5 linked regions of the Macaca fascicularis genome follow. The protein of the gene in region 5 interacts with the protein of the main gene of each other region in a biochemical or structural test. Links are inferred from orthologs where the notes say so. Each region holds a gene or a part of one and is shown on either strand. Other genes may lie near its edges. The genes, in order: SREBF1, KLF5, CCNE1, NOTCH1 and FBXW7.

What was found.
Region 1: the proteins of FBXW7 (region 5) and SREBF1 form a complex in vitro, tested with the Homo sapiens proteins (3 studies listed by BioGRID, with this or other methods). The link is inferred for Macaca fascicularis from reciprocal best matches to the Homo sapiens genes FBXW7 and SREBF1.
Region 2: the proteins of FBXW7 (region 5) and KLF5 form a complex in vitro, tested with the Homo sapiens proteins (2 studies listed by BioGRID, with this or other methods). The link is inferred for Macaca fascicularis from reciprocal best matches to the Homo sapiens genes FBXW7 and KLF5.
Region 3: of the proteins of FBXW7 (region 5) and CCNE1, one has a biochemical effect on the other in vitro, tested with the Homo sapiens proteins (18 studies listed by BioGRID and IntAct, with this or other methods). The link is inferred for Macaca fascicularis from reciprocal best matches to the Homo sapiens genes FBXW7 and CCNE1.
Region 4: the proteins of FBXW7 (region 5) and NOTCH1 form a complex in vitro, tested with the Homo sapiens proteins (2 studies listed by BioGRID and IntAct, with this or other methods). The link is inferred for Macaca fascicularis from reciprocal best matches to the Homo sapiens genes FBXW7 and NOTCH1.

What each region holds. Positions count from the first base shown.
Region 1 is NC_088390.1:17,915,728-17,921,524, forward strand, and holds the end of SREBF1 (sterol regulatory element-binding protein 1), read right to left. Parts: coding exon 5,627-5,797; intron 5,544-5,626; coding exon 5,377-5,543; intron 5,163-5,376; coding exon 4,994-5,162; intron 4,466-4,993; coding exon 4,357-4,465; intron 4,076-4,356; coding exon 3,966-4,075; intron 3,881-3,965; coding exon 3,748-3,880; intron 3,548-3,747; coding exon 3,382-3,547; intron 2,893-3,381; coding exon 2,692-2,892; intron 2,601-2,691; coding exon 2,489-2,600; intron 1,997-2,488; coding exon 1,767-1,996; 3' UTR 1,223-1,766; downstream 1-1,222.
Region 2 is NC_088391.1:64,024,595-64,030,916, reverse strand, and holds the start of KLF5 (Krueppel-like factor 5), read right to left. Parts: upstream 3,853-6,322; 5' UTR 3,528-3,852; coding exon 3,267-3,527; intron 1,007-3,266; coding exon 133-1,006; intron 1-132. UniProt on the Homo sapiens protein: Transcription factor that binds to GC box promoter elements. Activates the transcription of these genes.
Region 3 is NC_088393.1:37,078,120-37,083,792, reverse strand, and holds part of CCNE1 (G1/S-specific cyclin-E1), read right to left. Parts: intron 3,154-5,673; coding exon 3,008-3,153; intron 2,885-3,007; coding exon 2,749-2,884; intron 16-2,748; coding exon 1-15. UniProt on the Homo sapiens protein: Essential for the control of the cell cycle at the G1/S (start) transition.
Region 4 is NC_088389.1:2,813,300-2,819,633, forward strand, and holds the start of NOTCH1 (neurogenic locus notch homolog protein 1), read left to right. Parts: upstream 1-2,610; 5' UTR 2,611-2,865; coding exon 2,866-2,926; intron 2,927-4,524; coding exon 4,525-4,603; intron 4,604-6,334. UniProt on the Homo sapiens protein: Functions as a receptor for membrane-bound ligands Jagged-1 (JAG1), Jagged-2 (JAG2) and Delta-1 (DLL1) to regulate cell-fate determination.
Region 5 is NC_088379.1:157,242,682-157,248,354, forward strand, and holds part of FBXW7 (F-box/WD repeat-containing protein 7), read right to left. Parts: coding exon 5,541-5,673; intron 4,590-5,540; coding exon 4,476-4,589; intron 3,209-4,475; coding exon 3,027-3,208; intron 1,170-3,026; coding exon 944-1,169; intron 1-943. UniProt on the Homo sapiens protein: Substrate recognition component of a SCF (SKP1-CUL1-F-box protein) E3 ubiquitin-protein ligase complex which mediates the ubiquitination and subsequent proteasomal degradation of target proteins.

The sequences.
Region 1 (5,797 bases), on a different chromosome or scaffold from region 5:
ACCAGGGACCGCCGCGCCCACTCTGCACGGGAGCAGGGACAGCGCTAGATTCGTGTACAAAACCTGTGTACCCCTCTATATATATGTTACATAGAATGTATATATGTTGGGAACATGCTCGCTTCTCCCGTGTGTCGCCGCCGTGCGTCGTGCGCCCGCAGCAGAGCCCCAACCGGGCCTTTGCCGGGTAGGGGGCTACCACGACGCCCCTTGCCCACGCAGCCACCACCGGCCCGGGCCAGTCCCTGCCAGTCCGTCTGCCTGTCCGTCCGTGTCCTCAGCTCTGTCCACGCTTCGATAGGCCTGATGCAGCCCCCAGCCCAGGGCCGCCCTAGCAACTTCCTGTACATATGACTGTAAAATGGTAAACGTGTGTATTATATCTGGCCTCGTTATATAGTGTATATATATGTATACATATACATATATATAATATATATGAAGACTGTAAATGTTAAGACGACTAGTGTTCTTATTAGTATATTGCTTCACACTGAAGATTGTGTGTATCGAGCTGTTTCTAAAAGATGTTTATTTTCCTTAAGAGTAAAAAACAGTCATTGCATTCAGAAAAAAAAAAAAAAAAGTCAATAAAGATACAACGATTGTTTTGGAAAATCTGCAGCCCGTGGATTCCGACCAGATTCAGCTGGGAGCCGGGCCAGTGTTTAGGTTGGGGAATGGGAATGAAGGGAGGGGCTCAGGAGGGCATGAATGGAGTCAGGGAGCCCGCCCTTCACAGAACAGGAAACCTCTCCGCGCCTGTGCCCCCTCTCCAGTGTGGCGGCGGGTCGGGAGGGAGGAGGCTTCTTTGCTGTGAAAGGACCAGGGGCTAGGATGGGGGCAGGTGAGACGTGCCAGACTTGCAGGGAGACCCAAGCTGTAGCTCCTGTCATACAACAAACAGGTCCTGGAGGACAGTCCATCCTCCTCCCATGCCACCCAGGGACCTGATGGGGACACAGCTGGGAGGAGAGAAGGGACAACTGACCCCATCGAGGCCCTAAGGGTTGACAGCCCAAACGTGCCCTGGGAACAGGGGGACAGGTCAGCTGGAGGCCATACAGCCAGCCCTCCCCACTCCCCCTACTAACATCGGAAAGAGCTAAGTTGTGTCCCTCGTGGCCGGAGAGGGGAGGGAAGCCTTTTCCAAGGTGCTGGGGGAGGGCCCAAGCACGCTCACTGGTCAGCACATCAATCAGCTGAAGACACAAAACCCAGATTATAAATAATTTCATTTTTAATTCTCTGTACAAAACTTCTCAATCTATGAAAATAAAGTTTGCAAAAGGCAAAGTAGCACGGGAGCCTCAGGTCAGGAGGCTGAGCACGCTGACCTACACTATGTACACGTCTTCCCACAAGGGAGAGAGAGGCCTCTGGGGCTAGAGCCCCGCTTGCAGTCCGGGAAAGCCAAGTTGGCTTCCGTCAGCGCAGGGAAATGTACCCATCTCTTCCCTCTAAACAGGAGGAAAAAAGCCACTAAGGTGCCTGCAGAGCAAGGAGGGCCCCCCCGCCCCGAACAGCTCGGCTCCTGCAGTGCCCCGATCGGCCACCAGAGGTCAGCACCATCATGGCCGCCGGTATTAGGGTCGGGTTTGCGCCCCTCTGGCCTTCCACCCCGAAGGGACAGCGCAGCCGCGGGTGAACCGTGGAGGCCAGGGTCTCTCGCACTGCCTTCGGCCTTCAGGGCTTCGACACAGGACAGAAGCTGCACGGGACAGAAGTGGCTAGAGACAGGGGTGCTGAGGCCGGGGATACGGGTTCTAGCTGGAAGTGACAGTGGTCCCACCGCCCAGGCGCATGAGCATCTGCTGACAGTCGTGCAGCAGCCGGCGATCGCCAAGCTTCTCGAGCGTGCGCGCCGCCTCAGCCAGCATGCCCACGCGCTGCCCGGGCGCCGACAGGAAGCCAGGGGGCAGGTAGCAGGAGGCTAGCAGCAAGGCCTCCGCGTGCTCCCGCCTCGTGGGCCGCGGCTCCAGCTCCGCCACCGCGCCTGCGCACACAAGGATGTGTCAGGGATGGGGCTCAGGCTGGCCACGCCCCCGCGGGAGCCCCGCCCACACACAAGCAAAGGCACCAGCCGCCCATACCTAGTATACACGTTCCCCTCTCCCCACCCTAGTCTCAGCCCACACATAAAGTCCACAGACTGAGTCACGCACGTGTAGTCATATATCCCACAAATGACAGTTGCCCCACTGATTTCTTGTGAAAGGAATTGTCATCAGGTAACCACCAAGAAGATGCTTTTTTGTTTTTTTCCTTGAGATAGGGACTCTCCCTGTCACCCAGGCTCACTGCGGCCTCCAACTCCTGGGCTCAAGCTATCCTCCTGACTGGGCCTCCCAAAGTGCTAGGCGTGAGCCACTGTGCCAGGCCTGTCTGTCCCGTCTGACACACACGCAGCCTCCCTTGGTATCACACCCCATGTGCGCCCTTCCCTGCTGAGCAGACAGCACATCCCTGGTCAGCAGCTGCCCCTCACCTCCTTTGCCACCGGGGCCTGCCCGCCGCCTGAGACTGCGGTCGAGGAGTTGGTGTGTCCGTGTGGGGCTGGCCCCCGCCATCAGCCGGGCCGTGGCCTCATGTAGAAACACCTGGGGGCCAGGAGAGTGGAGGCTCAGGGCTGTCCCTCTCCACCACTGCCTGACTCCCCATCTTGAGGACAGGGAGCCATTGGGCACTCACCCTCCGCATGGCAGGCCGGAAGCTCTGTGCCAGCCGCCTCAAGCTGCTCAGGTCCCGTTGGAAGCCACGCAGCTCAAGGGCAGAAGCCTGAGGCCCGCTGCTGGTGCCCTGGGCTGCTGGGGCCGGGGCCGGGGGCTGCTGCTGCCGCCACAGGCTGGTGCGTACCACAAGGAGCAGGTCACACAGGAACAGCTGCACGGCCTGGGGGTGGCGGGCAGGGCAGGGTCACCAGGGCTCCAACTCTGGGAGGGGCAGGATGGGGGCCCGCGGTGCCAGGGGCCGGCTCCGGGCTGCACTGCCGAGGCACTGCACCCGCCTCACACACGTGCAATGCAACAGCAATGCACCGCGGGGCCGCCCGCCTCTCTTGGCCCCCACGCCCGCCACCGGCCCAGGAGCAGCTGTCCAGCCCTCCTGATGCAGGGCCTCCAAAGGGATCCTACCACACCATCCACCCCCATCCTCCCAGAATGGGGAAACTGAGGCCAGATAAGGGCAACCCCTCTCCTCTAGACAGAAGCCTTAGCCAAAAAGCAAGGACTGCTGGATCTCCTATCTGCTGGACCCCTCATCCTGTGCTGCTTGGGCTAACCCCATGGTCTTCTGCAGTCCCTGGGGCCTGGGGAGAAGGACCAGGGAATGGAAGGCTGAGTCCCCCAGCCCTGCCAGGCCCCTGACCCCACCCCTCACCTTATCAATGGAGCTGCTGGCTGGTGTGGTAGCCAGGCTGTCCTGCAGGTACCCACTGGCCTTCTCACAGATGGTCAGGCTGGCTGGACCAGACTCTGCCTTGGCACAGCCCAGCAGGGCCCGGGCAGCCTTGAAGGAGTGCAGAGCCGCCCTGGGCAGGGGTCTCCTGTTGGGACCAGGGCAGAAGAGTGCCAATCAGACCAGTCCACAAGCCCTGGCTGAGTGCCTCCCACTGCCCTGGCTCGAGTTCCCTGGGGATAAAAGGTGGTGACCCCTCCTGCACAAAGGCTGAGTGGAGGTACAGTGCCCAGGGGATGAGGGAGGCTGGGCCCAGGGCCAGGCAGGAGGAACCTGCCGTGCACTCACTCAGACTCCTGCAGCACCCGGGGCAGGTGCTCCACCAGTGGGCACAGCCGCTCAGCCGCCTCCTCGTCCCGCCGCAGCCAGTGGATCACCACAGCTGTCAGAGAGGCCCACCACTTGGCCACTGGGTCTATGCCTGCAAAAGAGGGAGGGTCCCCTGAACCCTCAGCCACGCTGCACGGGGACTGAGAAGGGAGCCAGGGCAGGGGCCGGGGGCTCACCGGTGGTGGTGGCCATGCTGGAACTGATGGAGAAGCTGCAGGCAGGAGCCCCCGCGGCATCAGAACAGCTGTTCAGCAGCTGCAGGTACCCGAGGGCATCCGAGAATTCCCTGTGGCAGGAGAGGGTTGGCTGTCGGGACAGATGGCAGGGGTCCTAGGAGGGTGCTGGCCCTCCCCACCTGCCCACTAGAGTACAGCCTGACCCCTGGCTCTGCAAACTGCCACTGTCTCCTCCCATAGGCTGGTGGGGAGAGGAAACCCAGAGAGGAACGAAGGGCGCATGGCACGCATGGTAGCCTAGCTCTGGCCCTCTCCGCAGGGTTGAGGACAGAGCTATTCCCAGAATCCTGCTAGAGGAGCCTTGCGTGGAGGAGGGCACAATGACACTTACTTGTCCCCATCAGCTGACCCAGGGCTGGGGTTGGGTTGGGTCACACAGTTCAGTGCTCGCTCCAAGAGATGTTCCCGGAATAGCTGAGTCACCTGGGCCAGGGGGTCCACTGTGGAGAAGAGGAGGTGAGTGGGGTGGGGAGCAGGGCCCCACCCTTTTCTCCAAGCTAAGGGCTTTTGCCTGGGTGGGCTGGGGCCACACTCAGGGTCACTGGGAAGTGCCGGCATGCCCCTGGGTGCAGCCCGTGCCAAGGACAGGGGAAAACAGGTGGACATAACTACGCCAGCACCAGCGTTGGCCAGGACAACACTGAGGCCTGCCCTACGCTGCTCCCAAAGGAAAACCGACTTGAGAAGGCACCACTGTTGGCTCCGCTTCCTTACTCCACAGCGGTGCTGCCTGGGGTCACCTCTCCAATCAGCCACCTGCCCTTCAATCCCTGCATGTGCTTCTGAAAGCCCCAGTGAGAACCGAGACTCACTCAGGCCTTTCCCTTCCTACAGCCCCCACATCAATAACCCATGGCAGGGAGAAGGACTGGGGTGGCCAGAGACAGCCAGAGATTCAGGCGACAAGGGACAGAACAGGAATGAGGACATGGGACAGGAGAGGGGACAGGGAAAGGGTAAGAGAGCACCTGGGTTACCAGCCAAGCTGTACAGGGTCTCCCGTGGGGTACTGAGCACGGCCCAGTCCCCATCCACGAAGAAACGGTGGCCCACGGGGTGGCAGAGCCACTGCATGGCAGGAGGCACAGACCCACTCTGTGCCAGGCAGGCCTGGCGGGCACTGCTCAGGAAGAAGCGCTGTAGGGGAGGGAAATGGGCTGTCACAGTGGACACAGGCTGGGGCCAGACCCCAGGCTGAGCCCTAGCTTGGCCTGGATCCCCCTTGGTAACCACTGCAACATCCCGTGTAACTCTTACCCAGCGAGCCTCTGCAGAGAGCTGCAGGGATAAGCCCCCAGCCCCACCCCACCCCCCCGCCCCGCCCCGCCTCACCCCCCCGCCACCCACTCACTGTCAGAAAATGCAAGGTCCGTGGGAGACTGGTCTTCACTCTCAATGCAGCTGCCACATAGATCTCGGCCAGCGTTGCCACAGACACGGCATCCCCTGCACACTCTGCCAGGTTCAGGGCACTCAGCGCCAGGTTGGTGGCAGTGAGGTGCCCGCCTGTGTACTTCCCTGGAAGGCAAGCAGGCATGAGGCTGTGGGTGGAGCACAGGCAGCAGGGAGCACCTCGGAGCCCGCCCCACGCTCCATCCTACCCATGGTGTGCAGCTGGTGCAGCTTATGGTAGACCAGGGCTGCGTCTCGGGCACTGGCACGAGCATCCACCCGCAGAGAACAGTCCCGCTGCAGGCCCCCCGCCCGGCCTGCCAGCCAGCGGCCCACCCAGAGACGCTGCAGCAGGTGACGGATGAGGTTCCAGAGGAGGC
Region 2 (6,322 bases), on a different chromosome or scaffold from region 5:
CCTACCCTACTTTAATCTCTTTCTGGGGCACTTAATTTAGAATTAAAAACTGCAATTTATTCAATTGCCATTTTAAAGTCACACACACACACACACAACCTATTGATGCTTCAACCAGGTAAGAGCACATACCAGGGTAATCGCAGTAGTGGATGCGTCGTTTCTCCAAATCGGGATTACTCCTTCTATTGTATCTGACAGGTTGGATGTTTTGTGAGTTAACTGGCAGGGTGGTGGGTAAATTTGGATTGTGAATTGCCAGTTTAGAAGCAATTGTAGCAGCATAGGATGGAGGTGGGGTTAAATTCTGGAGCATCTCTGCTTGTCTATCTGGACTTCCAGGCTCTGAGCTTGGTGGTGACGGGGGAAAATAAGTGGCCTGTTGTGGAAGAAACTGACTTGGCATTGTGTATGTGCAAGGGGGCATGCCCTGGAATTGTTTCACTGCAGTCTGCGGAACAGCAGAGGTGTGTGTGTTAAGGCCTGCCATGGCAGCTGACATAGAAACATTAAGAGTGTCCATTGCTGCTGTCTGGTTTGTAGAACTGGGCATATCTAGATCCGGTGTATTCAGTAGCTGGTACAGGTGGCCCTGCTGGGGAGGGACAGAAAGATGAAGATCTGGTGTAGGAAGTTCTTGTTTGATGAAAATATTGTTCACCTCTGGAGCTGCGGTCTGGTGTGAGCTGAATATACTGGTGAACTCAGGGAGGGCCTGGGTCGGGGCCGGAGGAGGGGCAGTCGTTTCACTCTGGTGGCTGAAAATGGCAACAGGTTCTGTCTTGATGTGTGTTACGCACGGTCTCTGGGATTTGTAGAGGCCAGTTCTCAGGTGAGTGATGTCAGGGAGGAAGACGTTCATGTTGATACTGTAAGGTAACCCTTCAGTGTCAGTGAAGAACTGGTCTACGACTGAGGCACTGTCTCGTCTATACTTTTTATGCTCTGGAATTATAGGAACTGGAGGAAGCTGAGGTGTCAGATACTTCTCCATTTCACATCTTGTCTAAAAAAGAAGAGATACAAACATGCATAATCCACCTGATTCACCATCTTGGGAAGGACAAACAATCGGCGCCTACTAAAAATTACCCCAATCCCTGTATAAGGTACTCGGGCAAACTCCTCAGTGTTGCTTATAAACATATCAGGCTTATTTTGTCGATTGTGTAATAATTGGTTGACCAAAACCTTATGAAACTGTGTAACTGGTAAAACTGCTCCCCCAATCACCCCCAAAAGTGAAAGACGCAAATCAAGAAAAAAAAAGAAAGCAAACTGAAAACATTCCTTTCTGATGCAATAACAAGGTATCACCCCTGTACAAGCAGGATTCCCTGCCCCATTACACAGTTAAATTTGCAATTAGAGTACACTATTGAAATGTTGCCAAACTACCTCAATTCTGTTTAAGTCATAAACATTAAAAAGCGTGTTTTTTGTTTTGTTTTGTTTTTTTACAGAAAAAACTATGCAAACCTTTAAAATATTGCAAAGGTTTATTTGGCTAGACACTTCAAAAGTAATATAAAAAATATTCTTTGGCTACTTCTGTGTCTTTTCTTGTTTACAGTTCAATGAGAAATACAATGTTCTAAGCAAAACCTTGTATCCACTGAAACAAAACAATTTCACATTCAATATTTGACCTAAAGGTTGATTTTAATCAGCAGATCCTGTAATTGGTTAATATGATAATGAAATGTTCCTATTCATACCCCTATCTAAAACAGATCTTTAATTACCTAGGGGAAAATCACTCCCTCGCTAGAGTGCTGCTAAGGAGCCCGTGGGTGGGGAGGCTGCTGTATCCCTAGCACAGTCATCAGCAAAACATTTATCATGTCCTCCTCAGTGGGCCAATGCTACATTCCCCCCGACTCTGTAAAAAGCTCAGTCATCCCTTATCTTCTTGTGCCTCCAGAGCAGAAAATTGACAAACTGAAATAACCAAATACTTTTCAAACGATGATCTCTTTTCTAGGCTTTTAAATCAGCTTGTAACAAGTCGCCTCAAGCTTTTTCCAGCTATCTTCTCTCCTAGTATAACTTAAGCCTACATTTTTTAACACTGAAAAAGGAAATTTCGAAAGATAAGATAACCAACTAGATGGAATGGCGCATAGTATTAGCTTGGCACCTTAATCGGTAAATAAGACAGTCATTTTCTGCTACTACTTCATTTCAAATGCGTTTCATCTCGGACCTTGGTGTGGATCCGGACGGGGTTTCCCGGATAGACACGATTTAAAAATAAAAATTAACGCTCACGTCATGTGAGTCACATCTCTGACAAATGCCACTGCCCTCTCACAGCAGGACCCTGACAGACCCCACGGAGTAGGCGCTGGGTAGCAAATATGCGATACGCCAAAGGGCTACTAAATGAAGTGTCTTGAAATAAACTGAACTAAACCCTTTCGTGCACTGCGCTCCCGCGGCGGTTAGTGGTTTCTGATTTTAGCTCTTCCAGCTGTTTGCATGTGGGTATGTTTCCAATTTTTTTTTCCTTGGGACAGGCTAAAAGTCCCGGGAAGTTTTTTTCTGGGCTATATGACTCCCTGCGTGGGCGAAAGAAACAGGCGGTTGCTCTAATTCGGCTGCTGGGCAAGTGTAAAAGCCAACTGCCAGCTTTCAACGCGGCTCCGGGAGGAAATTTACGCGCACACGAAGAAAACAACACCCCCGGTCTTTTTTTTTTTTTTAAGGAAAAATAAGCGCTCCAACACAACCTTAGCTTTCCTAACTCTCATTTTCCAAACGCGGCCCGCGATCGCTTCTAAAGCAGGTTGAGCCACCGGCTATGAAATCTTGAGCAACCTCTCCCCAGCACCCCAATTTGCGTTTCTACTTAACCCGAGACGATGGGGATGGGGGAGCTCCAATGCCTTGGCACTGGGGAGCGGTAAAGGTGAAGACGTAATTTAAGTAAAACTGAGCGTAAGGTACAAGGTTTCGTCCCTCAAGTGTAAGAAAAACAACTAAGGTGCGTGTGAGCACCCAGTTCCCTCCCTCTGATCTCTCCCAGGCCAAGCCGCCGGGGCAGATTCCCCTCTATCCTTCCCCCCTCCCGACCCCTCATTTACTCTCAGCGAAACGCGGGTCCCCGGCCAGGCGTGCAGGGCGGGGCTGCCCACCCAGCACCGGCTCCGGTGCGCCCCGACGCACGCCCCAGCCTGGAGCGGCCCCTGTCGCCCGCGCGTCGCAGCGACGGGACACGCCCGGGCCCGGGAGTGCAGTGGTGGGAGGGGAGCGGCTCTTCCTACCTGGACTAGCTCCTCGGGAGGCAGCCGCGGGCCGGCAGCGGGCGGCTGGGCCGGCTGCGGGGCCTGCGCGGGCGCGGGCTGCGCCTGCGAGCGGTGGTGCGCGTGCTTCAGCTCCTCGCCAGGGAAGAGCGCCGCGTCGCGGGCCGGATTTGCGGCGCCCAGCACGGGCTTGAGCTGCGCGAACACGGGCTCGTCCTGCGGCGCCGGCGGCTGGGGCACGGGTCCCAGGCGGGCGCTCATGCTCAGCACCCGCGTAGCCATGGGCACTCGGGAGCGCGGCTCCGGGCGCGGGTCGGGCGCACTTCCCACCTCGCCCACCCTGGCTTGGGGCGGCGAGCTCGGTGCGGGGCTGCGGTCGGAGGAGGGGAGAGGTTTCGGGTGGACCCCTCAGACAGCGGCAGGCAGTTTTCGAAGGCGCGCACGAAAAGCAAAACTCTTCCGCTCTTCCACACGTAAACGCCAACGTCCTACGGGCGGCCACTTTCTCCCGCCCCGCCCCACTGCGCTCTCAGGCTCTCCAGAGCCCGCTCCCGCCACCGCCGACCTCAGCGAGAGAACTGCGAGCGCGCGTACCTGCCCCACGACTACTGACACTTGACGCCCGCCTCTATTTCACCCAACTCCGGGGGGGCGGGGCCCGCTCGCCTGATTGGCAGCGCCGCCGCGAATCCCGAGGCCTCAAGGCCGGCCGGGCCTGAGCGGCCAGCCTATGAGCAGGGAGAGAGGCAGCCAGGGCCCCGCCTCCGCCGGCCCGACCGCACCCCTCTCGGGCCACGAGCTTCGCGCGCAGGGCGGCCGCGCAGTTTGTACACAACTTCTCTGACAGATTGGGCTGGCGGAGCTGGGGGCGGAGGGAAGTAGCGGAGCGGGTGGAATCTGGGAAGAGGGGGAATTAGGGTGGAGACGCGGAGGGAGAGCTCTTCGCACTGTTCTCTGCCAGGATTAGGAAGAAAAAGAGTATTGCACGTCTTAGGTGTTGTGCAAGGACCTGAAACTCAAAAGCTGAAACCCAGAAGGCAGCTAGGTGGGGGCGCTGAGGCTTTTAGAGATTTGTCTAATGAGTGTGTACTTTTAAATATCCGAAATATACTTCTCTTTAGCAGAAAACTAGGGGCGGTGTGATAAACAAATTTAAAACAGCTCTTGTCTCATGTATCTTTAGCAGTGACTGTATCCATTTAACAAGGCAAATTCAGAATGCCTGAATAAAAGATTTGATGGGAAGCGTTATTTTCAAATCCTCGCATAAAAGCCTGAGTTTTTCCCACTCCTTCAGGATTTTAATTGCTAGACGTTTTCCCACACATTTGTACCTCCTATCCGTGTGTGGGGAGGAGGGCTTGGGCCACATGAATTTTGAAGTTTCTAATATTTAAGCCATGTTGATTCTAGCCGAAGCATGGAATCTAATTTAAGCACGACTGGCTCAAATGTGTACTTAAATAGACATTACATCTTTGACTTATTTTTGCTAGCACTGTATGTTAAAAAAATGGACTTTAATATTTACAAAACAGAAACCTAGCACATTTACCTCACATTGTGGCACCTTTTCCTACGAAGAGACAACCAGAAAGCCACAAACATAGACACATAGACACTGAAAACTGGGAATCCAAATTTGTTGGAAGGTAATAGCCAAATATATTACCGTCCATTTACTATGTTGTTATAATGGGAGGGTGAATTTTTGCCAGGAATCACCTAAGGAAACCACTTCCCTTAATCCTTAATGTTCTTGTACATGATTTTATCTGGCTTATTGGGAGGACGGAACAATAAACTGCAATAAAAATGCTTGTGATATTACTACAAATGTACATATGTTGACAGCACAGTATACCATTAGACAGTTTTACATATACGACAGCCTACTCATCGCTTCAGAGTAAAACAGCTTTAAAAAAAAAAGTATTTGAAAAAAACGTTCACTTCAAAGAGCATATCTATCAAAGGTATGGATCTCATTTTCAATGGGTAGAAAATTAATAAGCACATAAAGAAATGTATTTATTATTAGAACATATAAAATTATGCTGTAAACTAGGTTTTTCTCCTTTTCCTTCTCTTCCTGTTGATACATGATTCATTTCTACTAACTGTGACCACTGCCTTCAGAGAATGACTGATGACTACTTTCATGTTACCAAAGTATTATTTAATAAGTGCTTTTGCAAGTTTTTCTCTAACCAAACAGCCCCATGCTGTCCACCTTCATCTTTAAAAAGCTGTCTTGCTTTTCTCTAATATCAAACCGATCATGTAATTAATTAGCTTAGAAACAGATTATAGAATTAGGATGGGATTTAATGTAACTCTTTTAAAAAATTGAGCTCTGAAAGATTGTTAGTTACTTAATTCTGATAACATCAAACCTAAATGTGATGTAGATAATTCTTAATAGAACTTTTGTGCTCTTGTAACTTTAAGCTAAATCTAACTTAGATTTAATACATTTGGTAGCTGTATCTTAATGTGCTTTTAAACCTATCTAGACCTTTCCTTTTGTCTTTCTTTTTACGAGAGCTTCAGTGGCCTGGTATTTCAATCTAAGTTTTCACTGCAATAAAATCCCTGTATTTTACTGGAAATGCTTCCATAATTTCACACCACTTTTTAACATGCTTTCATTTACAAAAGCTTTTTCATTGCAAAAAAAGAAAAAAACACACACAACTAATATTGTTTTTAATATTTTTAGTCTTGTTGTTTCATATTTCCACTTTTCATAATGAATATAGATATGAAGCTAGCGTTGGGGTTCTTATAGTAACTGAATATATTCCTTTTTGCTCCAATACAGTAGCACCTTTTAAAATTTCATTTCAGGCATAAAGATTCATGAAATAGGGCTGCCACTTTTAAGTAATAGTTTCTCTGAAATGCCCTGCTCTGCAATCTCACAGAAAATAACTAGCTTAGCACTGTACAATAGTACGGAAATTGGAAAGTAATCCTTTTCGGAGACATTTGCCATGTGATTCTGAGCATATAAAGAACATGTTCAACCAAGCTTCCCTGCTGTTACTTTTAACATAAATGCTACAGCTGCAAAC
Region 3 (5,673 bases), on a different chromosome or scaffold from region 5:
ATAGACTTCACACACCTGAAAACATATTAAGTTTTAGAACGGTTACTTGAGGAAGGGGAAAAAAAAAACAAAAACAAACCTTATAATGACTTTGGTGAAGGACAATATAGGACAATATTAAATGCAAAGTTCCTGAACTCAACAATTGATGTTTTTTTGTTAGTTTGTCTTTTGTTTTGAGACAGTGTCTTATTCTGTCGCCCAGGCTGGAGTGTAGTGTTGTGATCTTGGTTCACTGCAACCTCCGAGTCCCAGGCTCAAGTGATTCTCTTGCTTCAGCCTCCCGAGTAGCTGGAATTATAGGCACCCGCCACCATGCCCAGCTAATTTTTGTATTTTTAGTAGAAATGGTGTTTCACCATGTTGACCAGGCTGGTCTTGAACTCCTGGCCTCAAGTGATCCGCCTGCTTCAGCCTCCCAAAGTGATGGGATTAAGGGATGAGCCACTGTGCCCAGCCTAACAACTGATAGGTTTTAAATGAGGGGCCCTCTGGCCTGTCCCACCCTCACCTGCCTAGGATGTGAATCATCCCCCTGCCCGCACATCCCCGTGGAGCAGGCCACCTGCCTGTTAGTCACTCAGTAGCACACAGGTTATCAGATGGACTGTCACAGCACAGCAGTGCTGGTGTTCAAGCAAGCAGCCCTTATTTTACTGAATAATGGCCCCACAGGGCAAGAGTACTGAGGCTGGCTATTTGGAAACGCCAAAGAGAAGCCGTGAAGTGCTTTCTTTAAGTGAAAATGTGAAAGTAGAGGATTAAAAACATAGCATAGCTAGAGCTCAGTACTATCTGTGGCTTCAGGCGTCTCCTGCGGGTCTTGGGATGTACTCCCAAGGATGAGGGGTACTTTTGTAGTTACATATTCATTTTCTACATGTTTTCATGAAACGGGTCTGCCTGAGATGTCCGTCTTTTCAGAAGAAAAGCCCACTTCTCATCCATTCAAGTCTTACAAGGTTGTCTAGGAAGTTTCCCTTAATCAGAAACTATGAGCTACCGCAGTTCATCCCAGTAAGAGATATACTACCCATAAAATCTCTCTTATGTTTAACCATTATCTATTAAATTTTGTTATACTTGTTCTTTTGATTAACTGTTAAAGAGAAACAAAATAGTGTGGATCAAGATAAGATTTGAGTTGGGTGCTGTAGCGCACACCTGTAATCCCAGCATTTTGGGAGGCCGAGGCAGGCGGACCCCTTGATCCCAGGAGTTGGAGACTAGCTGGGGCAACACAATGAGACACCATCTCAACAAAAAATAAAAAATTGGCAGGGTGTAGTAGCTCATGCCTGTAGTCCCAACGACTGGGGAGGCTGAGGCGGGAGGACTGCTTGAGCCCGGGAATTGGAGCCTGTAGTGAGCCATGACTGCACCACTACACTCCAGCTTAGGTGACAGAGCAACTCTGTCTCAAAATACAGAAGCCACTCCAATGGTCCAAATATCTTTAAAAATGTGCTAAAAAAAATTGAGACAGAGTCCCATGATCACCCAGGCTGGAGTGCAGTGGCACTATCATGGCTCACTGCAGGCTCCAACTCCCAGGCTCAAGCAATCCTCCCATTTCAGCCTCCGCAGTAGTTGTGACTACAAGCGTGAGCCACTATACCCTGACAATTTTTTATGTTTTGTTGAAATGGGGTCTTGAGGGCCGGGTGCAGTGGCTCACACCTGTAATCCCGGCACTTTGGGAGACCAAGGCAGGCGGATCACCTGAGGTCAGGAGTTCAAGACCAGCCTGACCAACATGGAGAAACCCTGTCTCTACTAAAAATACAAAATTAGTCAGGCATGGTGGCGTATGCCTGTAATCCCAGCTACTCAGGAGCTGGAGGCAAGAGAATCGCTTGAAACCGGGAGGCAGAGGTTGCAGTGAGCCAAGATCGCACCATTGCACTCCAGCCTGGGCAACAAGAGCGAAACTCTGTCTCAAAAAAAAAAAAAGAAAAGACATGGGGTCTTGCCATGTTGCCCAGGTTAGTCTCCAACTCCTGGGCTCAAGGGATCCTTCTGCCTTGGCCTCCCAAAGTGCTGGGATTAGAGACATGACCCACCGTGCCCAGCCAGGATTTGAACAGTATATTTTATTAGAATAAATGGGAATGGTGGCAAAAGGGAATGGATTCCAAGAAGTTAAAAAGGAACAATGTCAGACCTGCTTAAGATAAACTTGTTCACACGTGTTTATAATTTATGACAGTAGCTATCAAAGAGGTGATATATGCGTTCCAGTGGGTACATTTAAAAGCAGTTTAGCCAGGCACGATGGCTCAGGCCTGTAATCCCAGCACTCTGGGAGGCCAAGGTGGGTGGATCACGAGGTCAGGAGTTCAAGACCAGCCTGGCCAACATGGTGAAACCCTGTCTCTTCTAAAAATACAAAAATTAGCCGGGTGTGGTGGCGTGTGCCAGTAATCCCAGCTACTCAGGAGGCTGAGGCCAGGAGAATCGCTTGAACCTGTGAGGCAGAGGTTGCAGTGAGCCGAGATTTTGCCACTGCACTCCAGCCTCGGTGACAAAGACTCCATCTCAAAAAAAAGAAAAGAAGAAAAAAAAAAAGATTTCAGAAATTCTTGCTAAGAATACAAGCAAAACAGAAAGACCACCTCAGTAAATATACCATATAGCTTCAGAGATGGAGAACGTGTCAAGGGAATCAACCACACAGAGATCCTAATACACAAAAATGCTGGAAATGCTCAGTGCTTTCATGAAGGCAACAGGAAGACTCAAGCTCACCTCCATTAACCAATCCAGAAGAATTGCTCGCATTTTTGGCTGCAGAAGAGGGTGTTGCTCAAGAAAGTGCTGATCCCTTAAGTATGTCTTTTCCTTGTTTAACATGATTTTCCAGACTTCCTCTCTATTTGCCCAGCTACAACAAAACACACAACAAAAATGAGGCCCACACAGGGGTGAGAATGCGTCCATGCTATGAGGGATAAAGGGGAGTATGGAGTAAGAGACCTGGAAGCCACGTGGTAGAGTCGGCACTGACCTCAGTACAGGCAGCGGGGAGCCTCTGGATGGTGCAATAATCCGAGGCTTGCACGTTGAGTTTGGGTAAACCCGCTCATCATCTTCTTTGTCAGGTGTGGGGATCAGGGAGCAGGGGTCTGCACAGCCTGTATTATTGTCCCAAGGCTGTAAATGAAAAATACACAGGAGAGGTGAGATAAGATGCAAACAGCTCCTACATTACCCAAAAACACTGCAAAGTCACTTGCAACTCAGTAAGATACTGGGCATGACCTCTGAAAGTGCTTCCAAAAAGATACATTATGGTATTTTTTGTCACAACTCAAAGATTTGTTTTTTAGTGAGTACACGCATCTACTAAAATTTCACAAAAGGAAAACAGAATTGTCAATAAAAATATTTACATAAGCACTTCACGTTCATGAGTATAAAAGATCAAAAATGTAAATTGGCTGCCATATATATTAAAGTCCCCTCAGTTTAAAACAAAAACCCACCAAATGTGACATTTTTTTTTGTTGCGCGACTAGCCAAATATGTTAAACAATAAAGGACTTTCTCTTTTCCTTAACTCGAAACAAACAGAATGACTATCCACCTAGTTAAAACCAAATCAAGTGATGGTCACAGGTCATACTATTAAGTCTACAGGAAGCTAGTCTAGATACTCCTTAAGACCTCTGAATCTCGAATCTTGCAGGCTAATTCAAATACCCAATAAAATAAGGAACTATTATAAACCAAAGCACTATGCTTTTCTTTTAAAGGTTTCAGATATGTATTCAGTTTTCAGTATCTGAAAAACACTAAAGTTCATTTAGAATATTTTCTTAAGCTATTCCTACTCTAAGATGTCTGATTTTTAAAGTTATAAAATGGTAACTCTGCTGAAGATATTAGGCAGGTAACAATCCCACTAGCATGGAAGCCGTATGAAAGTCTGAGACTTGGCTTTTTTTTTTTTTTTTTGAGACAGGGTCTCCCTCTGTTGCCCAGGCTGGAGTGCAGTGGTGCGATCTCAGCTCACTGCAACCTCTGCCTCCTGGGGTCAAGCCATCCTCCTGCCTCAGCCTCCTAAGCAGCTAGGACTTCAGGCATGCACAAGCACGCCCAGCTAATTTTTGTATTTTTTGGTAGAGATGGGTTTTCGCCATGTTGTCCAGGCTGGTCTTGAACTCCTGGACTCAAGCCGTCCTCCTGCCTTGTCTTCCAAAAGTGCTGAGATTACAGGCCTGAACCACCGCACTTGGCTTTTTTTTTTTTTTTTTAAGCAGAGACCACCAGCCTGGCGGTGGTCTCTGCTTTAAAAAAATAGACAACTGGGGTCACTATAATGAACGTGGAAACTTGGGCTCTAAGTGCTACCTCAAAGACACAGCACAGAGTGGCGACCACAGCACATTGGTCGCCTTCAGAGGAAGCCCAAACACTTTCAGTTGGAAGAGCAAAGCCAGATAAAGCTCTTCCCCACCCAATGTACAAAGAATTGGGCATGCAAATTATCCATGACAGCTCCTGCCAACAGCTGTGCGAGCAAGGCTGCTTCCTTTCAGTTCTAGTACCATGTGCGGGTGGCATTTCCTTGACTCAAAAAGGGTCACATTACAACCGCTGTAAGTTGTTCTTCATTCAGGAAGAATGAATTCTAGTCTTGAAGGCATAATGCTGGGTGCCGCCCTCTAAGGCCAGCTGGCTGGCACATCTGAGAGCAGGCCTTTGGACATAGATGAGTCCAGCAGCAGTTCCCAAACAAACTAGGTGAACCATCAGCAGACAAACGGTTTCCAAAGTTGGCCTTTTAGGGACCAGTGGATGAGGTAGAATAATTAAGTCTATGTCCTTAACTTGAGTGTACACCAAGTTTCAAAGCAAGATCTGTCTGACTTTATTTAGGAAGGAATGAGAGCAACGGGATTCCTAACCACTCCATCTCCTCACACCACTTTTTTCCTTATGTAGGATTATTTTCTGAAAAGTAACAGTCCAGGATTCCACTTCAATAGAAAGACTGAGTCTCGTGCAAAAAAATTAAATAACATAATGGACGTGTTAAGTAGGTCTTAGATAAAAGGGTATTCTTTTCATTAAGAACAGGCTAAGATGAAAATTAAAAAACCTCCATGTGGTCTTGATGAAGCAGTTACACAAGAGTTTAGCACAATGGCTCCAAGTAGCTCAAAACTGTCGTACTGGGGTGAACTATGGTAACTCCAGAGAAAAGTTCTGTATGTGAACAGGGAAAAAGGTTCTGTGGTACCCCCAAGTTCTAGTTTCATGAATCCACAAAGAAATAACAAAGATACTGCTCCATACATAGACAGCTAATGTTTAAGCTATCTACTCTACAAAATGTACAGAAATCTGTTGCCTTTAATCTCTGGATAACCACGAAAATGCCTTCTAGTGGGAAACGGTACAGCTATTCTGGCAGCACAGCTATCCACGCTGTGGCCAGGGGACAGAGCCACAATCCGTCCCAGGCACCCTCGTCACTACTCAGGCTATCCTTGAGAACAGACATGCTTCTAAAACTCCAAGAATGTAACAGGGACGGCCCTGCTTCATCTTCAGCTGGAAGTTGCTTTTTTATTCAAAACACAGCTGGGAAAATAAACAATCCTGAATTTCACAAAGTCAGAATTCATTTTATAATACCTAAAAAATCAACTTGCTTGATTTGAACGT
Region 4 (6,334 bases), on a different chromosome or scaffold from region 5:
CTGGGGTGCAACGCCTAGGCTGCTCTCCCCTCAGCACCTGCACGTGGCCTCTGAAGAAGAGGGGGCTGCGGGCCACGTCTGCCTCTCCCCTCTGCAAACCCGGCTCTGCGGCCCCATCTCCTCTGCTTCCAGGCTCCTTGGCCAGCTTGGGAACAGCCCCTTCATTCAGGGTACCCCTGCCCTCAGGGGTACCCCGGGAACCTTGTCCCAGCTCCCACCACAAGCTGGGACAGGAAGCCCAAAGTGACTCCCACGGGGGAGGCCTGGCAGCACTGCACCCCAATTCGGCTTCTTGGGGTCCTAGCCCCCACCTTCTGATTGGGTTTCTGGAGTGGCTGGGGTGCCCTGCACACAACCTGCTTTCTTTTGTTTCTCTTTAGCCCCTGCAATGCCCGCTGCCCGGTGCTGCCCCCCTGACCTGCAGGAGAAGGTCTCCAGGCCCCAGGGCAGCAGATACACTCCTGCTCGGTAGGACCCCTGCCTTCCCCCACTGCCCACACCCACTGGCCTGAAAAAGAGGAATGGGAAGCCCGGACAACTTGTGAATGAAGCTTCTCACCTACTTGCCAGGGGCCCACCCCCTTCCCAGGCTGGTGGGGAGGGGAGGCCCATCCCCCTCATCCCTTGCTTCTCCTCAGTACCAGCTGTCCATGGGGTACTCCCGGCTGTGGGTGGTGCAGGCGTTGGGAGCTGGGAGGCTGAGGCCTGTGCTTCCCTCAGGTCTGTGCACCCAGCTCCACCATCTGTAACATGGGCTTATGAATGTGCCTGGCTGCTGGGCGGCTTGACGAGTGGACATCGAATGGGCCACTCTCTTCTCTGCTGGTAGAGGATAGAGGCCCCAGGTGGAGATGCTGTCAGCACAGCTGGGGCAGACCAGGGGAGAACCCCCGTCCAGGGATCCCCTCCCCTCCCAGGCCGCCCCTCCCAGGCCACCCCTTCGAAAAATGTTGAGGACTGGCCCCCGAGCTAGGGCTACATGGGCCATTACTTCTGGCCTGGGGCTCACAGGCAGAGATGCCAACGGAGGCACACAGGCAGTTGCACCCGATCAACACTAGGCCTGAGGCCTTCAGGCCTCCCTGTGCCCCACCCCACCCCCACCTACCGGGAGCAGAGGACGTCGTGGTGGGCAGTGTCCTCAGCCTGGGAGCCGCACAGCCCCGCGCTTCCTTCTATGGAAAATCTGCTCCTCCAGGCTGCCGGGCTGCTGTTACATAAACATCTCTGCTGCCTCCAGACGCCTCCTCTCCTGGGGCGCTGACCCCGAGATGTTACCCCAGGCCTGGAGAAGTGAGGCCAGCTTCTGGGAGGACGCAGGCGAGGGAGGCTCCCAGCAGCAGCTACAGGGGGGGATAGGCCGTCTGCACTGGCTGTTTCCAGAGTGCTCAGCACTTGGCAAGAGGTGTGCCAGGAAAGGCTCGCTGGAGTCAGGTGTGAGATTTGTCCCGCTTTCTGTGCCTCCCTCTGCCACCATGCTCTGCGGTTTCTGCAGCCACTCCCCCAGGCTCCCGAGTCCTAGGTCCCTCTCAGCCTTTCAGTCTCCCTTCAGGGCAGGCATAGCCCTCCTACTCCAGGAGAGCCCCCAGCGCCTTCTGCCATCGCACTCACCACCCTGTGTTGGAGTGGGGAGGGGGCGCTGTTTGTCCCCAGCACGAGGCTGTGAACTTTGCGCAGGGACTATGGCAGGCATTTTGGACTCCTGGCGCTTAACCAGGCTTGGCACAGGGTGCCCGTGCCTGGCATCGTGGTGGAGAAATAAATCAGCCGGAAGGGGCACGTGGGAGGGGCTGCGCCGGCGCCAGCGGCAGATCCGCCCGACCCGTTTGTGCTTTCTGGGGCCACCTTAGGCAGGCGGCGCCCCGGCAGGAGGAGGACGGTGACCGAGGAGCATGTCGACGCGGGTCCCCCCTGGGGCAGCGGGGCGCAATACGTCCGCGAGGCACTGGTCCAGGCTGCTCCCTTGGGGCGCCCTAAACTCCCTGCCCTGAGGCCGCTGCGCCCCCATCCCTCGCGGTCAAGTGCTCAGGCAATCACGGCCAGGGGTGTCTGGCGGCGATCGATCCTCTGGACGCCTAAAGCCGCAGCCACGGGGCCCTGGGGAGGGAGAGAAGCCGCTGGGCTAGGGGCGCACCCACGGCTAGGCCACTTCTCCCAAAGCCCTGCCCCGGGCCCGGGGTCCCCCAACGTGGCCTCAGCTGCTCCCCGCCCGGCCCAGAGCACGGTGGACACAGCTGCCTGCGGCCTCGCCCTCCCTACTCCACCCCGGGCTCCTCCGCTTATTCACATGCAAACTTCCGTCGCCAATTGTCGCCGAGCGCGGCAACGGCCAGAGCCGGATCCTTCCGCAGCCCCGGCTCAAACTTTTGGCCTCTGAAAACTTTCAAACGAGAAGTAGTCCCAGGCGCCCGCTCCCGACCCACGCCGCGCCGCCGGGTCCCTCCTCCCCGGAGAGGCTGGGCTCGGGACGCGCGGCTCAGCTCGGGGAGGCGCAAAGGCGGACCCAGCGCGCGGGAGGAGGCGGCCGCGGAGGGGGCGGGGGGACCGGTGGGGGCGGGGCCGGGCGGGGCGGGGCCGGTGGGGGCGGAGCGCACCTCGACTCTGAGCCTCACTAGTGCCTCGGCCGCGGGAGGGAGCGCAGGGGCGCGGGGCGCGGGGCGCGGGTGCGAGCGCAGCGAAGGAACGAGCCAGGCGCGGAGACGGGCCCGGGAGCCCGCGGGAGCACAGCGCCAACTGCCAGCCGGGGAAGAGAGGGCGGGACTGTCCGCCGCCGCCCCGGGACCGTCCGCCGCGCGTGTGCGTCCCAGCCCCGCCGGCCAGCGCAGGAGGCCGCCGTCCGGGCGCAGAGGGCAGCGGGGGGGAGGCATGCCGCCGCTCCTGGCGCCCCTGCTCTGCCTGGCGCTGCTGCCCGCGCTCGCCGCACGAGGTAGGCGCCCACCCACCCGCGAGCCCCCACTTTCCGCGCTCTTTGGAAACGGCAGCGCCCGGCGCACGCGCCCCGTGGCTGGGAGCGGGCGTGGAGAGGGAAAAGCGGGCGGCCCGGGGCGTGGGGTTCTTGGAGTCCCGGGCTGGGGGAGGACCGACCCTCCCCCTCGATCCCCCCGTGGAGGCGGACTCGCGCCGCCCGTGCCTGGAGCCGAGTTTGGAGGCCGGCGTGAGGTGCTGGGGTCCCGGAGGCCCTACCCGGGCCCGCCCTTCACCCGCCGCGCGTGGGGCTTGCCGCCGGTCGGCCGGGCGGGCGGGCTGCCTACTACTTTTCGATTTGAATAGAGTCGGTTTTGGTTTCCTGTTGCTTCTCCGGGCCATTTATCTTCTTTCTTCTTCGCTTCTGGCCCACGCCGGGGCGGATGTTGGGGCGCGGAGTGTGGGCTCCGCGGCGCCGCGTTCGCCTTCACTGACCCGCGCGGCCCGGCTGGGGCCCCGGGCTCCCGGTCGCCCCGCCCGCCGGTGCCCCCCAGCCCAGCTCTCAGTTTGGGGGAGGGGTTTGCGTAAGAAGCCTTCGTGCCGGGGGGCACTGAACTTTTCCTTTTGCTTTGCAGAGTTGAAGTTTGGAGAGCTTGGGGGTGGAGAGCGGGACGCGGGTGGGGGGCTCTTACATCTCTCCTCGCCGCACATCGAGGGGGGTCTCTGGGGAATCGAGTGATTAATCCACTCTTTCTCCGGGAGTTGCAGGCGAGAATTATTTGTTCTCTTCCAGAAAGTGCTGCTCTATGTCACACCACCCTCCCCCGTTTCTCAGCCCCCTAAGATGGGGAGGGAGGGGCTTGAGTAATTGATCCCTTCTCGAGATGGGGTCGAATTCCTTCCGAATGGGGGACCTTCATCCCCCTCCTGTGTGTGTTTGGGGGCTGCCCTAGAGATGCGCGCCCGCGGGAGCAGGTATTGGGTGTCGGCGGAGGCGGGGCCGGGTCTCCGGGGTGCAGTCCTGGTGCCCCTGGAGGCGGCCCCGACTCCACAATGGGCCGCTCTGATTCTGAGGCGGAGGCCGGCGCTTTGTTGGCGGGCGGGGCAGCGGGCGAGCAGCTGTCGCATTTTCCCACGGGCGGGAGCTGAGTGTGGCCACCCCCCCTTCCCGCCGTCCAGCTCTGCCCCCTTGCAGAACGGGTTTGAACAGAGGCAATCTCGGCGGCTGGATGGGGGGCCCTGCTCTGCCAGCCTCCCCAGTGAGCCTCTGGGGTGGGGGGCAACGCTTGGGAGAGTAGCCCACTTTGTCTCTGCTTTTACCCCACTGCGTCCAGGCGGCACGTCAGGCCACCCCATCCTGCTTCAAGCAGGACGTGTTCCCTGCTGCTCCTCTTCCCCCCATTTCTGACTACAGAACTCTGGGCAGAATGTTGACGCCCTTTGGTTTCATGGTGGGGCTTCCTGTGGTCCCCTGCCCTGGTAACCCATGTCACTGAGTAGAGGCGTCCAGGGTCGGGGGAGGACAGTGCCCCTCGGCTGGGTGCGGGTCCCACCCCCAGGGTAACAAGGGCCTTCGGTGGTGCGGGTGAGACTGACCTCTCTTCTCCTGCCCCTGCCTAGGCCCGCGGTGCTCCCAGCCGGGTGAGACCTGCCTGAATGGCGGGAAGTGTGAAGCGGCCAATGGCACGGAGGCCTGCGTGTGAGTACCACCCCTGCGGGACCTGTTGCTTTGTTGAGGGCAGAGCCCCTGCCTTCTGCAGCCGCGCTGGGGACAGAACCCTGGGGCATTGTCTTCTGGAGATGGCCCAGAGTCTGGGCACGGTCACGTGCTGACTTTTATTGGACAAAGTCTGGCAATTACTTAATCACCAGCAATTATGCTGCGTGTGGAGCTGGTCTGACTGCTGGGGGCTTAGGCACTCCTCTGTGGGCCACCTCAGGCTCCTGGGTTACTAAGTGGGAGTCCCAGGACCCCAATTCTTCTTAAAGTCCCCAAGAAACAGTTGATCTGTCAGGGGAAGCTCTGGACCATTTACTGAGAAGCCCAGACCCCACCACCCTGCCAACTTGGGGCACCTCCTCTGGGCGGGTGATGCCTCCTGGGCAGGTGATGATGCCTCCTGGGCACAGGTGATGCCTCCTCTCCAGGGGTGATGCCTCCTGGGTGGGTGGTGATGCCTCTTGGGCTGGTGGTGATGCCTCCTCTTGATGGGTGATGCCTCCTCTGGGCACAGGTGATGCCCCCTGGGTGGGTGATACCCTCTATGGGTGGGTGATGCCTTCTGGGCTGGTGGTGATACCTCCTGGGCACAGGTGATGCCTCCTGGGCTGGTGGTGATGCCTCCTCTGGGTGGGTGATGCCTCCTTTGGGCACAGGTGATGCCACCTCTGGGTGGGTGATGCCCCCTCTGGGCGGGTGATGCCTCTTTGAAGGAAATTGACCCTTCACAATTGGACCCGCCTTTGGGCTCTTGTTTGCCCCAGCTCCCTCCTCCCGGCCTCAGGCTGGGGCTGGGGAAGAGAAGGCGGAACTCATCTTTTGGCGCGGGGTGTGGGGTAATTATTGAGTCTGGTTTCTGTCCTGGCATCTGCAAACTCTGACCTCCAAATCCCGTGGCCCTTTTGGTCTGCCAGGCTCAGATGTAAAATGGGCATGGAGGGGGCTGGGAAGTCGCGGGGAACCGCTCCCTCCTGCCTGCCTGTGAGTGCCAGTCGGCGGTGGGGAACTGTTCTGCTGTGGCCGATGCCCTTCAACTTGAGTCCATCCCTGATGAGAATAATGAGGAGGTGTTTGGTGGCTGGAAAAAGAGTTCCCTCCGCCCCCCAGGAGCTACAGATGAAGAAATGGCTCCCCAGCCAGTCTGGGCGCCCTCATTCCAACTGTAGAAGGTCCCATTCCCTTGACAACCCCAGCCCGGCTCCTGCCTGCGCCGACTGCCCAGCCTGTGGGCAGCAGCCCCCCTCCCTCCCCGGCCCCCACCCTCCCCAAACTGAAGCCAATTAAGCAGGTCCGTGAGCAGTTTAATGGACAAAGCCGGCTGTGTCTTTGTCAGACACTAATGAATGCGCACACTACTTTTTTTTTTTTTTTTTTTTTTTGCTTTTTGGGGCCCCCTTCTCCCCCTGCAGAAGCCGCACGGACGCTTGATGCCCTAAATCTTGTTTCCTTTCATTCAGAGACCGACAGCTGGGATCCAGGGGAAGTGCAGCAGCTATTGTTGGGGGAGGCGGATTAATGCCGTGTGATTAATTATGCGTGGCTTCCCAGAATGTATAACCCCGTTCCCCGCCACCGCGCTCCCGGCTCGGACTTTGCCTCCACCCATTCAGGTCTCTGGGAGAAGCTTCTTGCTCCTGCAGAGGACTTTGGGAGGGTGGGAGGAATGCCGTGCTGGGAAAATTGGGGGCCTGTTGCTTCTTCTCAGTGGCA
Region 5 (5,673 bases):
ACAATCTATCATTTCTATATAATAATGTGGCTACCTCTTTTCTCAATCAAATGGGGTTATTTAAATTAGAATATTATATTCATTAAGCTTCTGAGAATATCACAAACAGGTGCAGCCAATTTCCCTTCCTCCAAATTCATCACCTTTTCTAATTTAGCAAACATCTTGATCATATTGTCAATATTTCATGACATGGACAATATTCCTTCGACAAAGAAACAAATATCCTAAGAACAGAATTGACAGTACTAAGATTATGTACTAATTTGCTGAACATTAATGGGCAATAACTGATAAATAAACTATATAGGCTGTAGGAAATATTTTTACATTGAAAATGTTGCCTTTCTGGAAACAAAACAAGATTCATATTCTAAACTTCCTATTCATCTAGTCAATGATCTTAAAATATGGCAATGTTTTCAAGGATATGGGCTTGAAATGTAAACCAAAAAAAAAAAAAAATCTGTTTAGTCAACTTTACTTCCTTATGACTACAAATCAGTGGGCCTGGGACAGTAGAGTGCTTTATGCAGAAAGGATCTATTTCCACTTTGAATGGGGATGGAATCACAATTACATGGTCCATCAACTTTCAGCTATCAAAGCAAAGGGTCAGCTTTGGGCCATATTAATCCTCTGCAAAGGAGTTTCTTAAAATCCAGGTTACTCTCCTATGAGACTATTTAACCATTAATTAATATAGCAAACCTTAGAGTCCCAAATTGTCAGGTTACAAGACAAATATTTGTATTTAGAGGAGAAATAGATCACAGAAAATTGAAAGCATCTAAATAATTTTGAAATTTATATAAAAACAGCAGAATAATCTGGTTAATCTTTTTTGGATTGTACTGGAGCAGCAATTTGACAGCGATTATCTGAGTAAAACAACCTTATGATTCATCAGGAGAGCATTTAAGGGACAGATAAGAGATCTTACCTGTAATGAATAGACTCTATTAGTATGCCCCTGCAACGTGTGTAGACAGGTTTCAGTCTCTGGATCCCACACCTTTACCATAAAATCATATGCTCCACTAACAACCCTCCTGCCATCATATTGAACACAGCGGACTGCTGCAACATGACCCATCAAAACATGTAAACACTGGCCTGTCTCAATATCCCAAACCCTAAGAGTGGCATCTCGGGAACCGCTAACAACTCTGCAGAGGGAAAAACAGAAAAACAAAACAAAACAAAAAAACCCATGTTTAGAATTTTTAATAATATGAGAAAACATGATAGATTTAGTCAAGGTTTTTTAGCTTTCTTTTTCTTACACAGGAACAACTCTTGTCAAAAGAAATCCTATGTAAAACCTTGGTATATAAACATACAATAAGGGAATGGGAAGTTGGGAAGCCTAGAATGCTTCATGCTTGGTTCCCTGACCTGTGGACCTTAGTTCCAGCACCTCGAGGTTCTGTGGGACTGAGTTTGAAAACCACTGCACTGTATTTTTTTTTAAAAGCAGCAGTAGCTGCCTCTAAATATATACAATAAGATTTTGATTTTAGAAATAAAATGTTAATGTGGGCATGTGTATAAAATGTTAATGGGAGAACTCTAGGTGGTAGTAGTTTAAAGAATTTAAATTTCTTCTTTATGTTCTTTGCCATTTTCCAAAATTTCAATTATGGATGCATATATTCCCTTGTGATTAGGTAAAAAATTCAATAAAGGTTATACAACAAAACAAGTCAGGATTTGGAATTTAAACAGCTGCAGATTTGTGTTTACACTATACATTCCAGTAAAAATTAACCAGTTTTAGACATGTCCTCAAACACAGGCTGCTTATGCTTTTAATGATTAGATTTATAAATATGCAATAGGCTATAAAAATATTGATATGGATCTTTAAAGATATGTACATCTTTAAAAACAATGGCTATCCCTTAAACATGTGGTTCAACATTAGTGCTACACTCTCCTGAAAACCAGAGCAATATGCAAATACTGTAATCACTTTTGGATTACAAAACAAAGCTGAAAACTCAGGTATCCTTATGTCATTCATTCTGAAGAGATAAAAGAAATACCACAGTTTCCATATTGGAAAAATTAGAAAATTAAAGGGTTGAGATTTAAGTCAGAACACAATGGAACACAATGAAAACATATTACAAATCTGGTGTGAAATCTGCTTAATGTAATGGTTCTTAATATAAGAAGATGCTATAGACAGAATTAAAGGTAAAGACTGCCATTGATTCACTGTAAGGACCTTTCAGAGAGACCTTTTTTGACAAATGAGGCAGAAATCACACTTGTTTAACAGGGGTATGATGAAGATAATAGAAAGATAGGATTTTAATAGGAGGGCTTTACAGGAGGAGATAAAAGTAATAGCAAAGGCACTGAGAAGAAAAAGTCAAGCAATCTAGTTTGGCAGACACCATTTTGAAAACTGGATTGAGGATTTCTTCCTTAATTCGTTAGTCAACAGTAGGCTCACAAAGACTTAAGAACTGGGCAGTGACACTATCATAATTATAAAAGGACTGTATGTCAGCATATAAAATGTAAGATGACCAAGTTAGAAAGTTGTGACACTAGTTCAGAATGAGAGAACAAATTACTCACAGGCCTCAGCCTTTGCCTAGACTTAAGAGATAGGGTGGGTGTAAGGTGGGTAGGTAATTTAAAAAGGCTCAGACGCTTGAAGCCTGAATTTGTCCCACTTGCAGAAGTAAGAATATCAAAAAAAGAGAGAGAAAAAATGATTTCTGCTTGAACATGATGAGTCATCAAAGATACAGAACAATAAAAAGGATTAGAGAGTAGAGAGCTTCAAAGAGGAAGCCGACAACACTAGCAAATGAAAAAGGAAACTTACAGACAATCCCCAATTTTAAGACAAAACACTATGGCTTTCCTAGAATAGAACCATCTGAAGTCTAATAATTAAATGTAATTTAAGAGCTCATTGTCACTATTTCAGTAACTCTATACAGAAAGGGCCCAAATTCACAAATAATAGAGGAAGAAGTCCCAACCACGATAAGATTTTCCCTTACCTTTTTTCATGAAGATGCATACAACGCACTGTGGAAGTATGCCCATATAAGGTGTGTATACATTCTCCGGTCTCTGCATTCCACACTTTGAGAGTCCGATCGGTAGATCCACTAATGATGATGTTGTCTCTCATTTGTGATGACCATACTCCACCTGTATGTCCCACTAATGTTCTCAGACACTGGAAAAACACTTAAGATGATTACTTTTGGGTAGAAAGGAAAAGTGATTTAAATAAAATTTAATAGCTCATTAAAATTTGGAGTAAAGTTATTTATTCGTTTGGCTCTTCAGAAAATATTATTTTACACATCCGTATAAAATGATCCCATCACTATTTATAGTTTTGTTTATTCAAAGCATTATAAATTTATATAAGCACAAGCAATTGAAGAACATGTAGAAAGCAAACATATGATATAAAATATGATATAATAAAAAGGAAACATGATATGAAAGCAATTATGATAGCTCTGGTCTCTTTGATGAAAAAATACTGAAATTGCAACTGGGTTTCTTCCATGGGAATAGATTCAATGAAAGTATGCCAACAGTATTGGGTGTGGCTACATACCACATTTCATCTGAATCTGCCCCAGGGCAGTAGTTAGGAGCCAGTGAAGCTACTTCTAGACAAGTAAAGACAGACATTAAGGCCCTGAAATAAATCCCAAACTAATATTACACTATGGAAATATAAAGCTGCTTTAAAAAATTTTAACATCTGACTTGGCGTATTTATAAGATACTTGCCAAGAAGCACCATGGTAAAAGACATTTTAAAAGACATGGATTTTTTTTTGTTTTCATACTCTCTTCTGTTATTTTTTAGGTGGCAATTACTTAATTCATGAAAATATTCTCTACTGGACAGATACAAATAAATATTTGCTAGAGAATCATTAAGGTATGATATAGTACACGGTCAAGCTGATTGCTTGGGCTACTTTTTTCTTCAAACTTACATTTAAATGCCTAGTCCACTCTCATCTCACAAGGGTTTGAGATAAGTATAAATTAACATGATTTATTAAGTTCTAAACAATAGGTAGGTTATCAACAAAGCAGTTCATAAGGAAAAATAAATACCCCTCAACCATACTTCTGAAAAACATTACAAAGTAATGAGGTATAACTTAGACAGTAAATAAAAGTGGGGAAAAATTGAGCCAAGAAAAATATAAAGCACCCTTGAAAATGTTAAAATATCTGTCACAAACTATGTAAATGAAAAAAAATTAATGAAACCTCTATCATGAGAAACATCATTATCCTCATGCCATTGATTTTCATAAATATGGGGGAAAAAGCTAAGTTACGAGCTCTGATATTTGCTATCCCAATAATTGAGAATCAAGAATGAATTCTGATTTTCTTTTTTCCAGTTGCTACTTGCAATGCTATACACAAAATTGTGACTTTGTGAAGTGTAGGAAGAGTAAACTTACTTTGCCCGTGACTGCTGACCAAACTTTTAGAGTGTTGTCATCAGAACCACTAACTATTCGGTTACCACAAAACTGTAAGCATGTGATCACATGATCATCATGTCCTTTCAGCACCTATAAGATAGATGTACAGATTAGAAATATGTTAATTAAATTATGTTCTTTAAAACACTGGTGAAGAGAAAAATGAAGGCACAAACTGGAACGGTAATTTGTAGTCTATCTCTAGAATTATAATTTATATAAAATATAAAGCATTATTTTTCCTGGCTGACGAATTCAGAATTAAACATTTTATTGTTTCCATAGTCTATTATTTATACTCAAAACATCAACTATTAAAGTTTTACTGCATCAAGACCTCATGAAGATGGTTCGAACACCAATGTATTTGACAATAATCTATTTTATCTGTTCAAACCAGAAGAATATGCCTCTAATTTTTACAACTTTGACACACAAGAACAAAATACGCATCTATTAACCACAAAGAGTAACAATTATTAGCATTCTCAAAACAAAAAAAATCTATAACATATACATATTAGTATCACAATGTCTCCCCAAACTGTTTTTTTCCAGTTGTAAAAATATGCTCAATAATTTAAAGTGTTCTTAACATTCTTTATATATTTGAAACGTTTTAATACAGAAAACCAGAATTATGCTTCAATTTATAAAAATAAGACACACGAAAGCCACCAATACCAAAACACAGACACTCCTCAAAAAATCATGTTTGGACTATGTGATCAGAGAAGGCAGCAAATTCTCAGGTAGAATGTGTATGACACAGTACAATTCAACAGGATATTGAGAGATTTTCATTTAAGTAAGATAAAAAGATACTCAATTTAACTTATCTTTTGTTCAAGCACAATTAGTTGTCAGATTAATTAGCAATAAAAGAATACTGTCAGTAATACTTTCAGTTATTTTAAAATATATGGTTTTCTTTCCACAGAAGAGAAGTGTCAAATTATACAGTTTGCCAAGAAGTGAAATAGTACACTAGGTACTAACACTGATTAATGGTTTCTGTTACACTGTGCAGAGTTCAGTTACCTTAGGAGATTTGAGTTCTCCTCGCCTCCAGTTAGTATCAATTCTGTGCTGTCTGATGTATGCACTTTTCCATGGACTGTGTATGAAACCTGGTTTTATTACTTTTCTTCTCTTGATGTGCAACGGTTCATCA